Linked DNA regions of Saccharomyces cerevisiae S288C. Each later gene encodes a partner of the first gene's protein in a complex. Each region holds a gene or a part of one and is shown in the gene's direction. Other genes may lie near its edges.

Region 1 (3,400 bases):
AGATCCGGAAGTTACGTCTTGACAATCCTCAAAAGTATACACGCAAATTTTTGGCTGCAAAATATGGCATTTCGCCATTATTTGTATCCATGGTCTCGAAACCTAGTGAACAACATGTACAAATTATGGAAAGTAGATTGCAAGAAATCCAATCACGCTGGAAGGAGAAGAGGCGTATAGCCAGAGAGGACCGTAAGCGTAGAAAACTCCTGTGGTACCAGGCGTGAATGCTATATAAATATAATAACAATCGTGTAAATACTACTCTATAAGTACTTCGTATTCATATATTGATCACAATGCACGGAGACGCCCATTAATGTGACTTGAATATACCACATGAAAGCTAACCAATAAGCAATTTAAAAAGAGTTAAGTACAGCTTGGAGACACCCAAAGGCTTCTGCTTCGACAACTATTGACTATCGAGATGGCTTACAGTGACTACAGCGATGGAGCAGACGACATGCCGGACTTTCACGACGAAGGTGAATTTGATGATTATTTGAATGACGATGAATATGATCTAATGAACGAGGTATTTCCTACTCTAAAGGCGCAGTTACAGGATTACCAAGGCTGGGATAATCTTTCACTTAAGCTAGCTTTGTTTGACAACAATTTCGATTTGGAAAGCACGCTGGCGGAATTGAAGAAAACTTTGAAGAAGAAGAAGACACCAAAGAAGCCAATTGCTGCTGCTAATGGGAGTGCGAATGTTACTCAAAAACTGGCAAACATCTCAATTTCGCAACAAAGGCCAAATGATCGGCTTCCAGACTGGCTTGACGAGGAAGAAAGTGAGGGTGAACGCAATGGTGAGGAAGCCAATGATGAAAAGACAGTTCAAAGATACTATAAGACTACGGTGCCAACGAAACCAAAGAAACCTCATGATATTTCTGCATTTGTTAAATCTGCCTTACCTCACTTAAGTTTTGTTGTTCTTGGTCATGTTGATGCGGGAAAATCAACTCTAATGGGCAGACTACTTTATGATCTGAACATTGTCAACCAATCCCAACTGAGAAAGCTACAAAGAGAGAGTGAAACTATGGGTAAGTCATCCTTCAAATTTGCATGGATTATGGATCAGACAAATGAAGAGCGCGAACGTGGTGTAACAGTGTCAATTTGTACATCGCATTTCTCTACCCATAGGGCAAATTTTACTATTGTGGATGCGCCAGGCCATAGAGATTTTGTTCCAAACGCTATAATGGGGATATCACAAGCAGATATGGCTATACTTTGTGTAGACTGTAGCACCAATGCTTTCGAATCAGGATTTGACTTGGATGGGCAAACAAAGGAGCATATGCTACTGGCATCTAGTCTTGGAATTCACAATCTGATTATTGCTATGAATAAGATGGATAATGTTGACTGGTCCCAACAAAGGTTTGAAGAGATTAAATCGAAATTGTTGCCATATCTGGTTGATATTGGGTTTTTTGAGGATAATATTAATTGGGTACCTATCAGTGGCTTTTCCGGAGAAGGTGTTTATAAAATTGAATATACAGATGAAGTGAGACAATGGTACAATGGTCCTAACTTAATGTCTACTTTGGAAAATGCGGCGTTCAAGATTTCAAAGGAGAATGAAGGAATTAACAAAGATGATCCGTTTTTGTTTTCTGTGTTGGAGATCATCCCATCGAAAAAAACAAGTAACGATTTAGCACTAGTTTCAGGAAAATTGGAATCAGGTTCTATTCAACCTGGTGAATCTTTGACAATATATCCGTCGGAACAGAGTTGTATTGTGGATAAAATTCAGGTTGGTTCTCAACAGGGCCAATCAACGAATCACGAAGAGACAGATGTTGCCATTAAGGGTGATTTTGTCACTTTGAAATTGCGCAAAGCCTATCCAGAAGATATTCAAAATGGTGATTTGGCAGCATCAGTTGATTATTCGTCCATTCATTCAGCACAGTGTTTTGTTCTGGAATTGACCACCTTTGACATGAACCGACCTTTGCTGCCAGGAACACCGTTTATTCTTTTCATCGGAGTCAAGGAGCAACCTGCTCGAATCAAAAGATTGATTTCATTTATAGACAAGGGCAATACTGCAAGCAAGAAAAAGATTAGACATCTAGGCTCTAAACAACGAGCATTTGTAGAAATAGAACTAATTGAAGTAAAGAGGTGGATTCCTTTATTAACTGCCCATGAAAATGACCGTTTGGGAAGAGTTGTTCTTAGAAAGGACGGTAGAACCATTGCGGCAGGTAAAATATCCGAAATAACTCAGTAGAAGGGTGAAAATAGATGATAAGAATTTTATACGCTTCTGTATGTAATTTTTTCAATTTCTACACATTAATAGCGATCCTTTTTTAATATTTGAATTTAGTGTAACGCGAAAATAAAAATATGAAAGTACTTACAAAAGGTTAGAGGGCGACAATACAAAAGAATACCTGCCTCTGAATATATCTAAAAAACTATTGAATAGGTTTGAAAAACTCATAATTCAGACAGTTATTATGGATTCAATAGATGAACAAATTGCTATAAAGCGAAAAGAACTTCAGTCATTACAAAAGATAACCAGTTTAACGGATGGCTTAAAAATTCAGCTAACAGAGTTGAATGAGCAGATCAAAGAAATGGGAATGAATGCGGATTCAGTGGCCCAATTGATGAACAATTGGGATTCTATAATAAACAATATATCGCAAGCAAGTTTGGGATTATTGCAATATGCAGAGGGTGATTATGAGATAGGACCGTGGAAAGATTCTAAGAAAAAGGAATCTGAACAATCAAATGAAACAGGTCTTGAAGCGCAAGAAAATGATAAGAATGATGAAGATAATGATGAGGATGAAGATCTGGTACCCTTGCCGGAAACAATGGTCAGAATTAGGGTAGATGGTAACGAATGAACAGAAAGAAAAGGATCTTATATAAATCGGAAGAAGGCAGTTGCGATAATAGCATATACATATTTATTATTATCATTCCCCAGTAAAGTTTATTATATATATGTAAAATTGTATTATAGATATTAGTATTCTACAGTGTTGGTTTCATAGTTGATGGTATAGTTTTTTTCTTTCGCTACAGAACCAATAGTCGAGTGCAACTTTATCTCGAGTGAGTTGTCTGAGTTCAACGTTTCCACTTGAGATATTTCTTCATATATCTCTTCACGTATGGCATTCTGATCAATAGGAAACCTGCCATATGTTTCGCTTATGTATTCTGGCGTCAGTAACGATTTGTCACATAAAAGATCCACACTGGGCAAGGGGAAATCATTATTTTTGGGTAGTTCTTCATCAAAAACACGTTTGACTATATGCTGAAGCAGTTTATCTCCTTCATTACTAGCATTTAGTAGAACGATTCTTCTCCATACCAAAGCATTCAAGAACTTTTTAAC
Region 2 (3,429 bases), on another chromosome or scaffold:
TTTGGGATAACAATACCAAATTCTGTTGGTTTTAAGTCAAATATTGTGTTGCTTATACAGGAAAAGTCAAGGTTTCAAACTACATATCATTATTTACTGTTAAAATTCACATATACTAATACATACGGTAATAGATTGAACCTCTTCTGTGCTCTTCTCTAAAAGTACTTCTGAACGTATGTGTCATTTTTCCTTTCAGTTTTCTTTGTAGCTCGCATTGATGTAGCCGAGTATATTTAAGGGATTCTTATGCAATGATGAAATATTTTTCACCTATAACGCCGACTACTGAAAACAGAGGGCCATCTTAACCGTTTTGCATTCAGTAACCCATACTCAGGATTTAATAAAAGAGGAAAGCAATGTCTCTACTAGGCGCCAGGTCCACTTACCGTTGGTTTTCAATCGCTGCATCAATTCCGACTAAGAATGCTATTGGCAAATCCACGTACCTCTTAGCTTCAAGAAATCAACAGTACCGAGGCATCATAACGTCAACTGTAGACTGGAAACCAATCAAGACAGGTAAGAGCCCAAATGATGATTCTCGAAGAGAAAGATCCTTTGGCAAGAAAATTGTTCTGGGTCTGATGTTCGCGATGCCAATAATATCCTTCTATTTGGGAACTTGGCAAGTAAGGAGATTGAAGTGGAAAACCAAGCTGATTGCGGCATGCGAAACTAAACTTACTTATGAACCAATACCACTTCCTAAGTCATTTACACCTGACATGTGCGAGGATTGGGAATACCGTAAAGTTATACTTACCGGACACTTCCTTCACAATGAAGAGATGTTTGTTGGTCCAAGAAAGAAAAATGGAGAAAAGGGTTATTTTCTGTTTACACCGTTCATTAGAGATGACACCGGTGAGAAAGTTCTGATAGAAAGAGGGTGGATAAGTGAAGAAAAAGTTGCTCCTGACTCAAGAAATTTACACCATTTGTCGTTGCCTCAAGAAGAACACTTGAAAGTGGTTTGCTTAGTAAGACCTCCAAAGAAAAGAGGCTCGCTACAATGGGCGAAAAAGGATCCAAATTCTAGATTGTGGCAGGTGCCAGACATATATGACATGGCAAGATCATCAGGGTGCACGCCCATTCAATTTCAAGCCTTGTATGACATGAAGGACCATCCAATAATCGAGGAACACACAAGAAACGAGGCTTCACAAAACAATTCCACCTCTAGCCTGTGGAAGTTCTGGAAACGAGAACCTACGACTGCTGTAAACGGAACGCAAGCTGTTGATAATAATACATCGAAGCCTCGTTCTAGGCAGGAAATGCCGACAGACCAAACAATTGAATTCGATGAACGACAGTTTATCAAAGCAGGTGTTCCCATAGGCCGGAAGCCCACTATTGATTTAAAGAATAACCATCTACAATATTTGGTAACGTGGTATGGCCTTTCGTTTTTGAGCACAATCTTCCTCATTGTGGCTCTTAGGAAGGCGAAAAGAGGGGGCGTTGTGTCCCAAGACCAACTAATGAAAGAGAAACTGAAGCATTCAAGGAAATATATGTAAACGGCAAACTCCTCTGCCCATACTATCGAACTCTATCCAAGAAGCGCGTAATTTCACGAGCACTGCCTAAACGGTTTTCCACATTAGTTTTGCAACTACAATGATTCGGATATGGCACATTTACATAATTTAAACTTGTACATAACTAACACCTTTTTATCCATATACCTTATGTGCCGCTCAAGATATGAACATTGCGCGTTGCCCGGACAATATCGATAAATAATAGCCAAAACAAACATGTTTTATCGACGCATGAATCCTTTGGCGTTAAACTTGTCCAATTGCACTGAAACTTGGAGCGTATAAGCTCAGCAATTGCACCAAAACAATATCAGAAAAGGCTTGTATTGCCACTTTCACCTATGAGCGAAGATAAAGCTAAATTAGGGACCACAAGGTCTGCCACGGAATATCGTTTATCCATTGGTAGCGCTCCGACTTCAAGAAGGTCGTCTATGGGTGAATCCTCATCCCTGATGAAATTTGCTGATCAAGAGGGATTAACGAGTTCCGTTGGCGAATATAACGAGAATACCATACAACAGCTTCTGTTGCCTAAAATAAGAGAACTGAGCGATTCAATCATTACTTTAGATTCCAATTTCACGCGCTTAAATTTTATCCACGAGAGTTTAGCTGATCTTAATGAATCCCTAGGTTCGTTGTTGTACGGTATTATGAGCAATTCATGGTGCGTAGAATTCTCACAGGCGCCTCATGATATTCAAGACGATTTGATCGCTATTAAACAATTGAAATCGTTGGAAGATGAGAAAAATAACTTAGTAATGGAACTCTCCAATATGGAACGCGGGATTAAAAGAAAAAAAGACGAACAAGGTGAAAATGATTTGGCCAAGGCATCTCAGAACAAACAGTTTAACCAGCCGCTATTTCCCTCCTCACAAGTAAGAAAATACAGGTCATATGACAACAGAGACAAGAGGAAGCCCTCCAAGATAGGCAACAACTTACAAGTAGAGAATGAGGAGGACTATGAAGACGATACTAGTAGTGAAGCTTCTTTTGTTCTAAATCCAACAAATATCGGTATGTCCAAATCATCTCAAGGTCACGTGACTAAAACCACGCGTTTGAATAATAATACCAACAGTAAACTGAGAAGAAAGTCCATCTTACATACAATCAGAAATAGCATTGCTTCCGGCGCTGATTTACCCATCGAAAACGACAATGTTGTTAATTTGGGAGATCTGCATCCAAATAATCGAATATCACTCGGAAGTGGTGCTGCAAGAGTGGTCAATGGGCCCGTTACGAAGAACAGAAATTCAATGTTCTCAGGACGTGCTGAAAGGAAACCCACAGAAAGCAGACATTCTGTTGCAAAGAAAACTGAAAAAAAAATAAATACAAGGCCCCCCTTCAGATGACTACGCCCAACCCAACCAAAGAATTATCCTCCTCACAAAATATATCGCTAGCATGCGTGAGTTATGGATAAGAAGAATATTTGATGAGCTGACTGATTCTTTATAGCAATAGGGAGGAAGGCAGTACACATATCAGCAGTGCATGGGCACAACCCGCATTACAACGAAACATGATATATCTATATAAAAGAAGATACGGACAGGCGGTCGAGGCTATTACTGTGCCACTATGCGAGTCATGAATGATTTTTAAATTAGTTAGTACCCCTTTATATAACGTCTTCAATAAAAGTGCGGGAAAATTCGGGTAATATTTTCTATAACTGTCATTTTTTTTTCGTTATGTATGGCAAACCAAATTGACAAGAAACTGGACAACGGTTAAAGCAAAAGGAGGAAGAAAGATATTGATTTGTGCTTTGAAGAATAACCCAAGCGAACAGGTCATTAATTGCCTAGAATCTTTACATAGAATTTGCCTTTTATGGAAGAGACGGGAG
Region 3 (3,206 bases), on another chromosome or scaffold:
AAAAAGACGCGATTCTGGGTCCACCATGATCAATACTGAATTGAAGAACCTAGTCATAAGGGAAGTATTTGCACCGAAATGTTTTAGAAGGAAAAGAAACTCTAATACGACTACAATGGGAAACCATAATGCGCGTTTGGGTTCCAGTCCATCTTTTTTAACACAAAAATCAAGAGCCTCGTCCCATGATGCATCGAATACGTCTATGAAGACTCTTGGTGATTCATCGTCACAAGCGAGTTTACAGATGGATGACTCGAAAGTCAATCCGAATTTGCAGGATCCTTTCTTGAAAAAATCGCTTCATGAAAAAATATCTAATGCTTTAGATGGCTCGCATTCAGTAATGGATTTGAAGCAATTCCACAAAAACGAACAAATAAAACATAAAAACTCTTTCTGCAACTCTTTATCACCCATTCTCACTGCAACCAATTCTAGAGATGATGGCGAATTTGCCACCTCCCCGAATTATATCAGCAACGCACAAGATGGTGTTTTTGATATGGATGAAGATACGGGAAACGAAACTATAAATATGGATAACCACGGCTGCCATCTTGACTCTGGTAAAAACATGATTATAAAGTCATTGGCGTATAATGTTTCAAATGACTATAGTCATCATGATATTGAATCAATTACGTTTGAGGAGACGTCCCACACCATTGTTTCAAAATTTATCTTATTGGAAGATTTGACAAGAAACATGAACAAGCCTTGTGCACTGGATCTAAAGATGGGGACAAGACAATATGGCGTAGACGCCAAAAGAGCCAAGCAACTGTCACAGCGTGCAAAGTGTTTAAAGACCACTTCTAGGCGTTTAGGCGTTAGAATCTGCGGATTAAAGGTTTGGAACAAAGATTATTATATCACAAGAGATAAATACTTTGGTAGAAGGGTTAAGGTTGGTTGGCAATTTGCTAGGGTACTTGCACGTTTTTTGTATGATGGTAAGACCATTGAAAGTTTAATCAGGCAAATTCCAAGGTTGATCAAGCAACTAGATACTTTGTATTCTGAAATTTTTAATTTGAAAGGTTACAGGCTATATGGCGCGTCTTTATTACTAATGTACGATGGAGATGCTAATAAATCAAATTCTAAAAGGAAAAAAGCTGCTAATGTTAAAGTCAACTTGATCGATTTTGCACGTTGTGTTACTAAAGAAGATGCAATGGAATGTATGGATAAATTTCGTATACCCCCAAAATCGCCAAATATAGAAGATAAAGGGTTCTTACGAGGTGTGAAGAGCTTGAGGTTTTATCTGTTATTAATCTGGAATTATCTGACTTCTGATATGCCGTTAATTTTCGATGAAGTAGAGATGAATGATATGATTAGCGAAGAAGCAGATTCGAATAGTTTCACCTCCGCCACCGGTTCGAAAATCAACTTCAACAGTAAGTGGGATTGGTTAGATGAATTTGACAAAGAAGACGAAGAAATGTATAATGATCCAAATAGTAAACTAAGACAAAAATGGAGAAAATACGAGCTTATTTTCGACGCTGAACCAAGATACAATGACGATGCTCAAGTTAGTGATTGAAAAGAAAGGATAGAACTAATGAATATTCTTTTAGCTGCGCTTATTTCAGTCCGTAAATGCATTTATCTATTCGTAACTATCATTATTTTGATTGCATAATCCAATAAATACACAAACGAGCATAGCATATATAACTATATATATGAAAAGACAAACGAATTTGTACGTGTATGAATATGACTACACGGTTATAGGCGATCACTAGAACCATTGAGCGGAAAGGGCCACCTCCGGGTAAAAGTCAAGGCCGCGAAAATAACAAAGGGAATAAACAGTCACCTTTAACAAGAGGAGGTAGTAATTAGCGTAGGAATAGGACTGATGAAGAGCTCGGACGTGTGAGGATATATGTACATATGATGGCTAGTACATCCAATGATGAAGAAAAGTTGATATCAACCACTGACAAATACTTCATCGAGCAGAGGAATATAGTATTGCAGGAGATCAATGAGACTATGAATTCAATCTTGAATGGTCTGAATGGTCTCAATATATCATTGGAGAGCTCGATAGCTGTGGGAAGAGAATTCCAGTCAGTTTCTGATTTGTGGAAAACACTTTATGATGGGTTGGAAAGTTTATCAGACGAAGCGCCCATCGACGAGCAACCTACTTTATCTCAATCGAAAACGAAGTAAAGTTGCGGTTCCCTCTGTCTCTCCTAATATTATCCTAAATTTATGTTTACAGTCGCAAATTAGATAAAGGATACGTAAGATATAAATTGTAATTTTAGCCTAATGATAAGTAAGTTGTGGACAACTTTTGCACGTTGAAAAAAGTGGAGGGCCACCGAACTCTTTTTCAAACGTTCTCCTCTTTGAACTTAGTTGTCTACCGTTTTGGATGGTAATAGCTGTTTCTTGGATAGACCTACCTTATATTTAACCTTGTTAGAATCCACCTGATAGAATGTCTTGTTCGTTTCATATATCAAGTCCTTTAGGCTCTTCTTCTTCCTTGGAGGGCTTTTCTTCATTGAAGGTGGTGGTTGTAGCCTGTCAAGCTCTTTCGAGGGACCTCCTTGGTATTGATCTTGTTCTCTTACTCCTTTTTTGGCGTCCAGATAAGCACCCCCATTGGGGCTTCCGCCACCTGTGTTCTCAGACAGATTTTTGGCACGAAGTTGTTGTTTTTCCAATTCCAAATTAAACAGTCTTCTTTCTACAACGTTGATGTTGACTATGGGAGAAGTCGTAATAGACCTTTTGTTCTTTCTTGCTGGAGCAACTTCGGTGCACAAGCTCTTTTCGGCATTATTATGTACCCCGAGTGGTATATAGGAGCAGCTTCTCCTATTTGATCTTTGTTGCATCGTCTTGATTTCTCTCTTTCGTTCGTCTCTGACATGTAGTTGTAATTCAAGAATTTAACCTGGGCGGCTATCTTAATAAATAGTGCATTACTCAAGCAAAAATCAGAAACCACGTACGCTAATTAAAGCCGTGAAAAACGAAAATATAAATATGCGAGAGTATACATTAAAATATTGTACATGTTAGCGACGCAGATTTATACCTCGCCATTTTTAGTCTTGAATTGAGGTGATCTTTTATTAAAGAGCATATCACCTCGGCAAGAACCCAGGTCTATTACACAAGTGGCAAGGCAAAGTGTGCATAATAAATATGTAATATAGTTACTT
Region 4 (3,718 bases), on another chromosome or scaffold:
ATACCAATTGAAATGATGATAAACTTAACAAAAACTCTTTCGATAATTCGGAATATAATCCATATCTAGGATCGGCCCAGGCTTTATTTTCCGCTTCAATAATATTGTCCTCATAATTGATTGGCTTTCTATCGATTGTGATACCAGGAATATTCAGCTCTTTATTAAACTTTGAAATATGATAGAGGATAGTGTGAAAATTTAGTTGCTTCGAGCTCGGTACTGATACAATGATATCGTTTTTTCTTATCGAACCGTGACTGAGGACGATCCCTCTGCCAGTTTCTGGCGATTCACAGATGCTGATGTTTGGTGCTATATAAAACTTATCTGATTTTTTCAGCCATGTTAGCAAGACATCAACCTTTCCTTCCATTCGCAATTTACTATGTAACTTTTTTGTAGATATTTATTCAAAATCTGTATCTTCGACAATCTTGAGACTATAGGTGATGAGTAGACGCATCCAGTTTTAGCTTGAGTTCCCGAATTTTTTTTTAATTTTACTTAATCAAGAAATCTTGAAAAAATGAAAAAAAAGAGTGTGGATCAGAATTGCAAAACAATATTCAAAGTATATGGAATATGTGCTTATTTATAATATATGGTTTTTCTCATTTCTACAGGACAAGCCCTGTTTTTGCTTTGTAGATTATGCTTGTAGTATTTTTCTTCTTTCGAGTTATTGTGGCAATTGCTTAACGGCCGTCGCAACTAAACCGAATGAAATGGCAACTACTCCAAAGAGCATTCCCTTACTAACTCTTGTTCTCTTGCCTTCGACGACTCCTAGTTCTTCAGTGCTTATTAATGTATCTTCGGTATCCTTTTTTTCTTCTCTTGAATCATTTTGTTTTACTTTAGCGTTATTGTCATTGTTAATACCACCATTAAAATTGCTTTGTGTTAAAACTAAATTTTTTCCCCTCTCTTCTTCTATTTGAAGGTTCAGCTCTCTTAATTCACTTTCGAGCTCCTGTAGCTTTTCATGGTTTTGTTTTTCCTTCAAGCTACATGCAGATTTTACTTTATTATTTTGTTGTTTGATTTCTTTTAATTGATCTTCCGATTCTTTGAGTAGCGCATCATTATTTTCTGATAGAGTTTTTTGTAAAGCCGTGCTCAGTTTCAGTAAATGCTTTTCATTCATATCAATCATGTGCTTATTGATGAAATCAAGGTTTATCGTATAGTTTTGCATAAAGTTTTGCATGGAATGTAATTTTTCCAGCTCTTGTTTTTCTAAGGACAGCTCAGTAGTCAAAGTTTTTATCATATTTATCAAATTTATGCTTGTACCTGCTGAATTGTTGATAAAAATTCCACTGAGAACCTCAGTTTCTGGACCTAAAATATCATCATCTAATTCTGAGTTATTAATATCTCCAAACATAGCTGCCTCAAAGGCTGCCCTTTGAGCCGTTGTTGCAGATGTTACACCAGCTTCGGTATAATTTTCCTTTAAATGAGATCGTATTGGAATGTGTTGATTATGATGACCTCTGTCTATCTTTATTCCGTTTATATTAGTGGAGTTCCCATTATTCTTATTAGTATGATCTTGTTTTTTCATCACCAAATTTGTGGGATCAGATACAGTGTTCATTAAGGGAATTACTGAAATCTCTTCCACATACGCACTGATTTTTCTATGTTCAAACTTTGAGTCAATATCAGTTCCCAAATCCACAGTATCACCAACTTTTAATTCTACATCATTTTGGCGTATTTTAACCCCATTAACAAATGTCCCATTGCTGGACTTTAGATCGCGAATATATATCTTTCCTGATGTAGGATCACAACTGAGACAAGCGTGATTTCTGGAAAGAACTCTTGAGTCAAAATTTCCGTTATCTGGTCTAACTTGTTGCGAAAATAAATCTCTTTTCGATCCTGAATTATTCTTGTTTACGCTATTGGTAACTGGTCGACCTAATTTAAGTCCGTCAGGTTTAAATGGTACAACAAGAAACTTGGTCTCAAAAGTTGCATTTAAGGATTTGAGTATAATAATATGTGTATGCTTCTTACGGGGTGATCCAGTTCTAAATAATGTCTCAGTTGAACCATTTTGGAATTTCGATAATTCGTCCAGTGCCGGTGGAGATACGGCTTCTACAGGAATTGTTACTTGTCCAGCCGGTGTTGGGTCTATTGAATTGTCATTTTGATCCTGACTTTGATTTTCAAATGGAGAACGGATTTTGTTGGCTAATATTGGGGATAATTGTTGCTGTTGTGAAACTTGATGGACGGAAGGTGGAGATGAAGCGGTAGGCAACAAATCTAAGCCTGGTGGTATGGTATACTGATCTATATCGACATTTGAACGGGATCCACTGCTTCTCGAGTTTGATCTAGCTCTTCCCATGGGCCTCTTAGGCGGTGACGTTTCTGGCGTCTTTGTCATTCCCTGCGAATTCGATTGATCCCTAACATAGGGAGAATGTTGCAGTTGCGGAGGGGGCCGTCTTCTTTTTTCCAGTTCTACCATGCCAAGAATTTACAGTTGTCTTCCTTCCTTCTAATTTCCAGTTGGTGAGACTGGTGACTATCCGTGGGGTCCGGATTGCGATTTACTTTCATTATGTATTTATTATTGGCGATTATAAAGTTTGTTTTCACAGGGCGTAGTAGTTAGCAACAATGAAAATGAATAATAAACAGATCACAGACGCATATATCTGTGTACGAATTGAAGGATAGGCAAAATAACCATGACAGATGCTTTGGAACAGAGCGTCCTTGCGTTGGAGGGAACAGTTTCAGTATTGAAGGATTCTGTGGAGTCTTTAAAATGTGCAAATGAGCCAAGCACGAACCTTGCATCGACAATGTTGCAAACCAAAAGGGTTTTCCGTTTAGTTCCCGAATATGATGTTGAAAGATCAAAATTAGATTTGATTGAAGAGGTAGAACCGCTGGTTAGGACTCTGGGCGATAAGTTACGTAAATCTATGGGTAGAATGCAAAGGGAACTCGATACTTTGCAGCAAACTTATGAATTAAACGATTTAAGGCTAAAGAAGAACATTAGTATGGATGACGATGATGCTCTGAATAGTCCAGACATGGGTCAAGAATACGAAGGCAGAGACGCGGACGACGTGGTTATGATGGCATCTTCTACTAATGAGGAATTGGAAGAATTGAAGAAACTAAAGGAAAAGAAGAAGCAACTGGAGAATAAGTTGGAAATACTCAAACAGAAATAGTTAGAAGTTTATTTTTTAAAGCATCCATTTATCTCTTTATCCAGTTTGTATTATAAATTATTGTTAATGTTATCGCTAGTAGATTACTTATATGTACTTAACTGTTTGCTAGCTACCAAATTTGCTTGATGGTTCGCCATCGAAGCTTTGAGACTGTTCAATTTGGCGCTTATACTGATCAAAGTTGGATCACTTGTAGATACTATTAACTTTTCACATTCCATGACTACCCTATTATCGAAAGTAACGCCCCTTCTTAATAATTCCTGAGCTTCTGGAAGTGTTATAGCTTCACTTTGAAAAGAAGAAATTATGTGGTTAAGTAATGTGGAATCCTGGACTTGTACACCGTTTTCTGAGAGGATCTTAGATAAAGTTTTGTTTCTTTCATTTGTCACTTGATTTCTTATTTGGTCGCAAAATGACCTGCCAGTTTTACTATCAATCTCGCACCAAGGTTTTTTAGTCACCTTAATTAGATTTCGTAGTTCTATGCAAAG

What was found.
Region 2: DAD2 (region 1) and DAM1 share a complex: the UniProt entries of both Saccharomyces cerevisiae proteins name them as parts of the DASH complex.
Region 3: DAD2 (region 1) and DAD1 share a complex: the UniProt entries of both Saccharomyces cerevisiae proteins name them as parts of the DASH complex.
Region 4: the proteins of DAD2 (region 1) and SPC19 are in contact, whole or in part, in a cryo-EM structure (PDB 8Q84), measured with the Saccharomyces cerevisiae proteins. Residues at the interface, in NP_013009.1 of Saccharomyces cerevisiae: Ile10 (codon at 2,526), Lys13 (codon at 2,535), Glu14 (codon at 2,538), Ser17 (codon at 2,547), Leu18 (codon at 2,550), Ile21 (codon at 2,559), Leu24 (codon at 2,568), Thr25 (codon at 2,571), Gly27 (codon at 2,577), Leu28 (codon at 2,580), Gln31 (codon at 2,589), Leu32 (codon at 2,592), Glu34 (codon at 2,598), Leu35 (codon at 2,601), Gln38 (codon at 2,610), Glu41 (codon at 2,619), Met42 (codon at 2,622), Asn45 (codon at 2,631), Ser48 (codon at 2,640), Val49 (codon at 2,643), Gln51 (codon at 2,649), Leu52 (codon at 2,652), Asn55 (codon at 2,661), Ser58 (codon at 2,670), Asn62 (codon at 2,682), Gln65 (codon at 2,691), Glu122 (codon at 2,862), Thr123 (codon at 2,865), Met124 (codon at 2,868), Val125 (codon at 2,871); in NP_010487.3 of Saccharomyces cerevisiae: Met1 (codon at 2,721), Thr2 (codon at 2,724), Leu5 (codon at 2,733), Glu6 (codon at 2,736), Ser8 (codon at 2,742), Val9 (codon at 2,745), Leu12 (codon at 2,754), Glu13 (codon at 2,757), Val16 (codon at 2,766), Leu19 (codon at 2,775), Lys20 (codon at 2,778), Val23 (codon at 2,787), Leu26 (codon at 2,796), Lys27 (codon at 2,799), Asn30 (codon at 2,808), Ser33 (codon at 2,817), Thr34 (codon at 2,820), Ala37 (codon at 2,829), Leu41 (codon at 2,841), Thr43 (codon at 2,847), Lys44 (codon at 2,850), Arg45 (codon at 2,853), Val46 (codon at 2,856), Phe47 (codon at 2,859), Arg48 (codon at 2,862), Leu49 (codon at 2,865), Val50 (codon at 2,868), Pro51 (codon at 2,871), Glu52 (codon at 2,874), Tyr53 (codon at 2,877).

Annotation. Positions count from the first base shown.
Region 1 is NC_001143.9:595,921-599,320, reverse strand, and holds DAD2 (Dad2p), read left to right. Parts: upstream 1-2,498; coding exon 2,499-2,900; downstream 2,901-3,400. Other genes in the region: mitochondrial 54S ribosomal protein mL58 MRPL20, read left to right, coding at 1-227; ribosome dissociation factor GTPase HBS1, read left to right, coding at 431-2,266; NUP133 (Nup133p), read right to left, coding at 3,023-3,400. UniProt on the Saccharomyces cerevisiae protein: Component of the DASH complex that connects microtubules with kinetochores and couples microtubule depolymerisation to chromosome movement; it is involved in retrieving kinetochores to the spindle poles before their re-orientation on the spindle in early mitosis and allows microtubule depolymerization to pull chromosomes apart and resist detachment during anaphase.
Region 2 is NC_001139.9:716,996-720,424, forward strand, and holds DAM1 (Dam1p), read left to right. Parts: upstream 1-1,897; coding exon 1,898-2,929; downstream 2,930-3,429. Other genes in the region: YGR111W (uncharacterized protein), read left to right, coding at 1-35; cytochrome oxidase assembly protein SHY1, read left to right, coding at 363-1,532; chromatin-remodeling histone chaperone SPT6, read left to right, coding at 3,414-3,429. UniProt on the Saccharomyces cerevisiae protein: Component of the DASH complex that connects microtubules with kinetochores and couples microtubule depolymerisation to chromosome movement; it is involved in retrieving kinetochores to the spindle poles before their re-orientation on the spindle in early mitosis and allows microtubule depolymerization to pull chromosomes apart and resist detachment during anaphase.
Region 3 is NC_001136.10:477,467-480,672, reverse strand, and holds DAD1 (Dad1p), read left to right. Parts: upstream 1-1,914; coding exon 1,915-2,199; downstream 2,200-3,206. Other genes in the region: inositol polyphosphate kinase KCS1, read left to right, coding at 1-1,558; HED1 (Hed1p), read right to left, coding at 2,388-2,876. UniProt on the Saccharomyces cerevisiae protein: Component of the DASH complex that connects microtubules with kinetochores and couples microtubule depolymerisation to chromosome movement; it is involved in retrieving kinetochores to the spindle poles before their re-orientation on the spindle in early mitosis and allows microtubule depolymerization to pull chromosomes apart and resist detachment during anaphase.
Region 4 is NC_001136.10:853,597-857,314, forward strand, and holds SPC19 (Spc19p), read left to right. Parts: upstream 1-2,720; coding exon 2,721-3,218; downstream 3,219-3,718. Other genes in the region: RKM2 (protein-lysine N-methyltransferase), read right to left, coding at 1-376; VPS64 (Vps64p), read right to left, coding at 683-2,497; RAV2 (Rav2p), read right to left, coding at 3,302-3,718. UniProt on the Saccharomyces cerevisiae protein: Component of the DASH complex that connects microtubules with kinetochores and couples microtubule depolymerisation to chromosome movement; it is involved in retrieving kinetochores to the spindle poles before their re-orientation on the spindle in early mitosis and allows microtubule depolymerization to pull chromosomes apart and resist detachment during anaphase.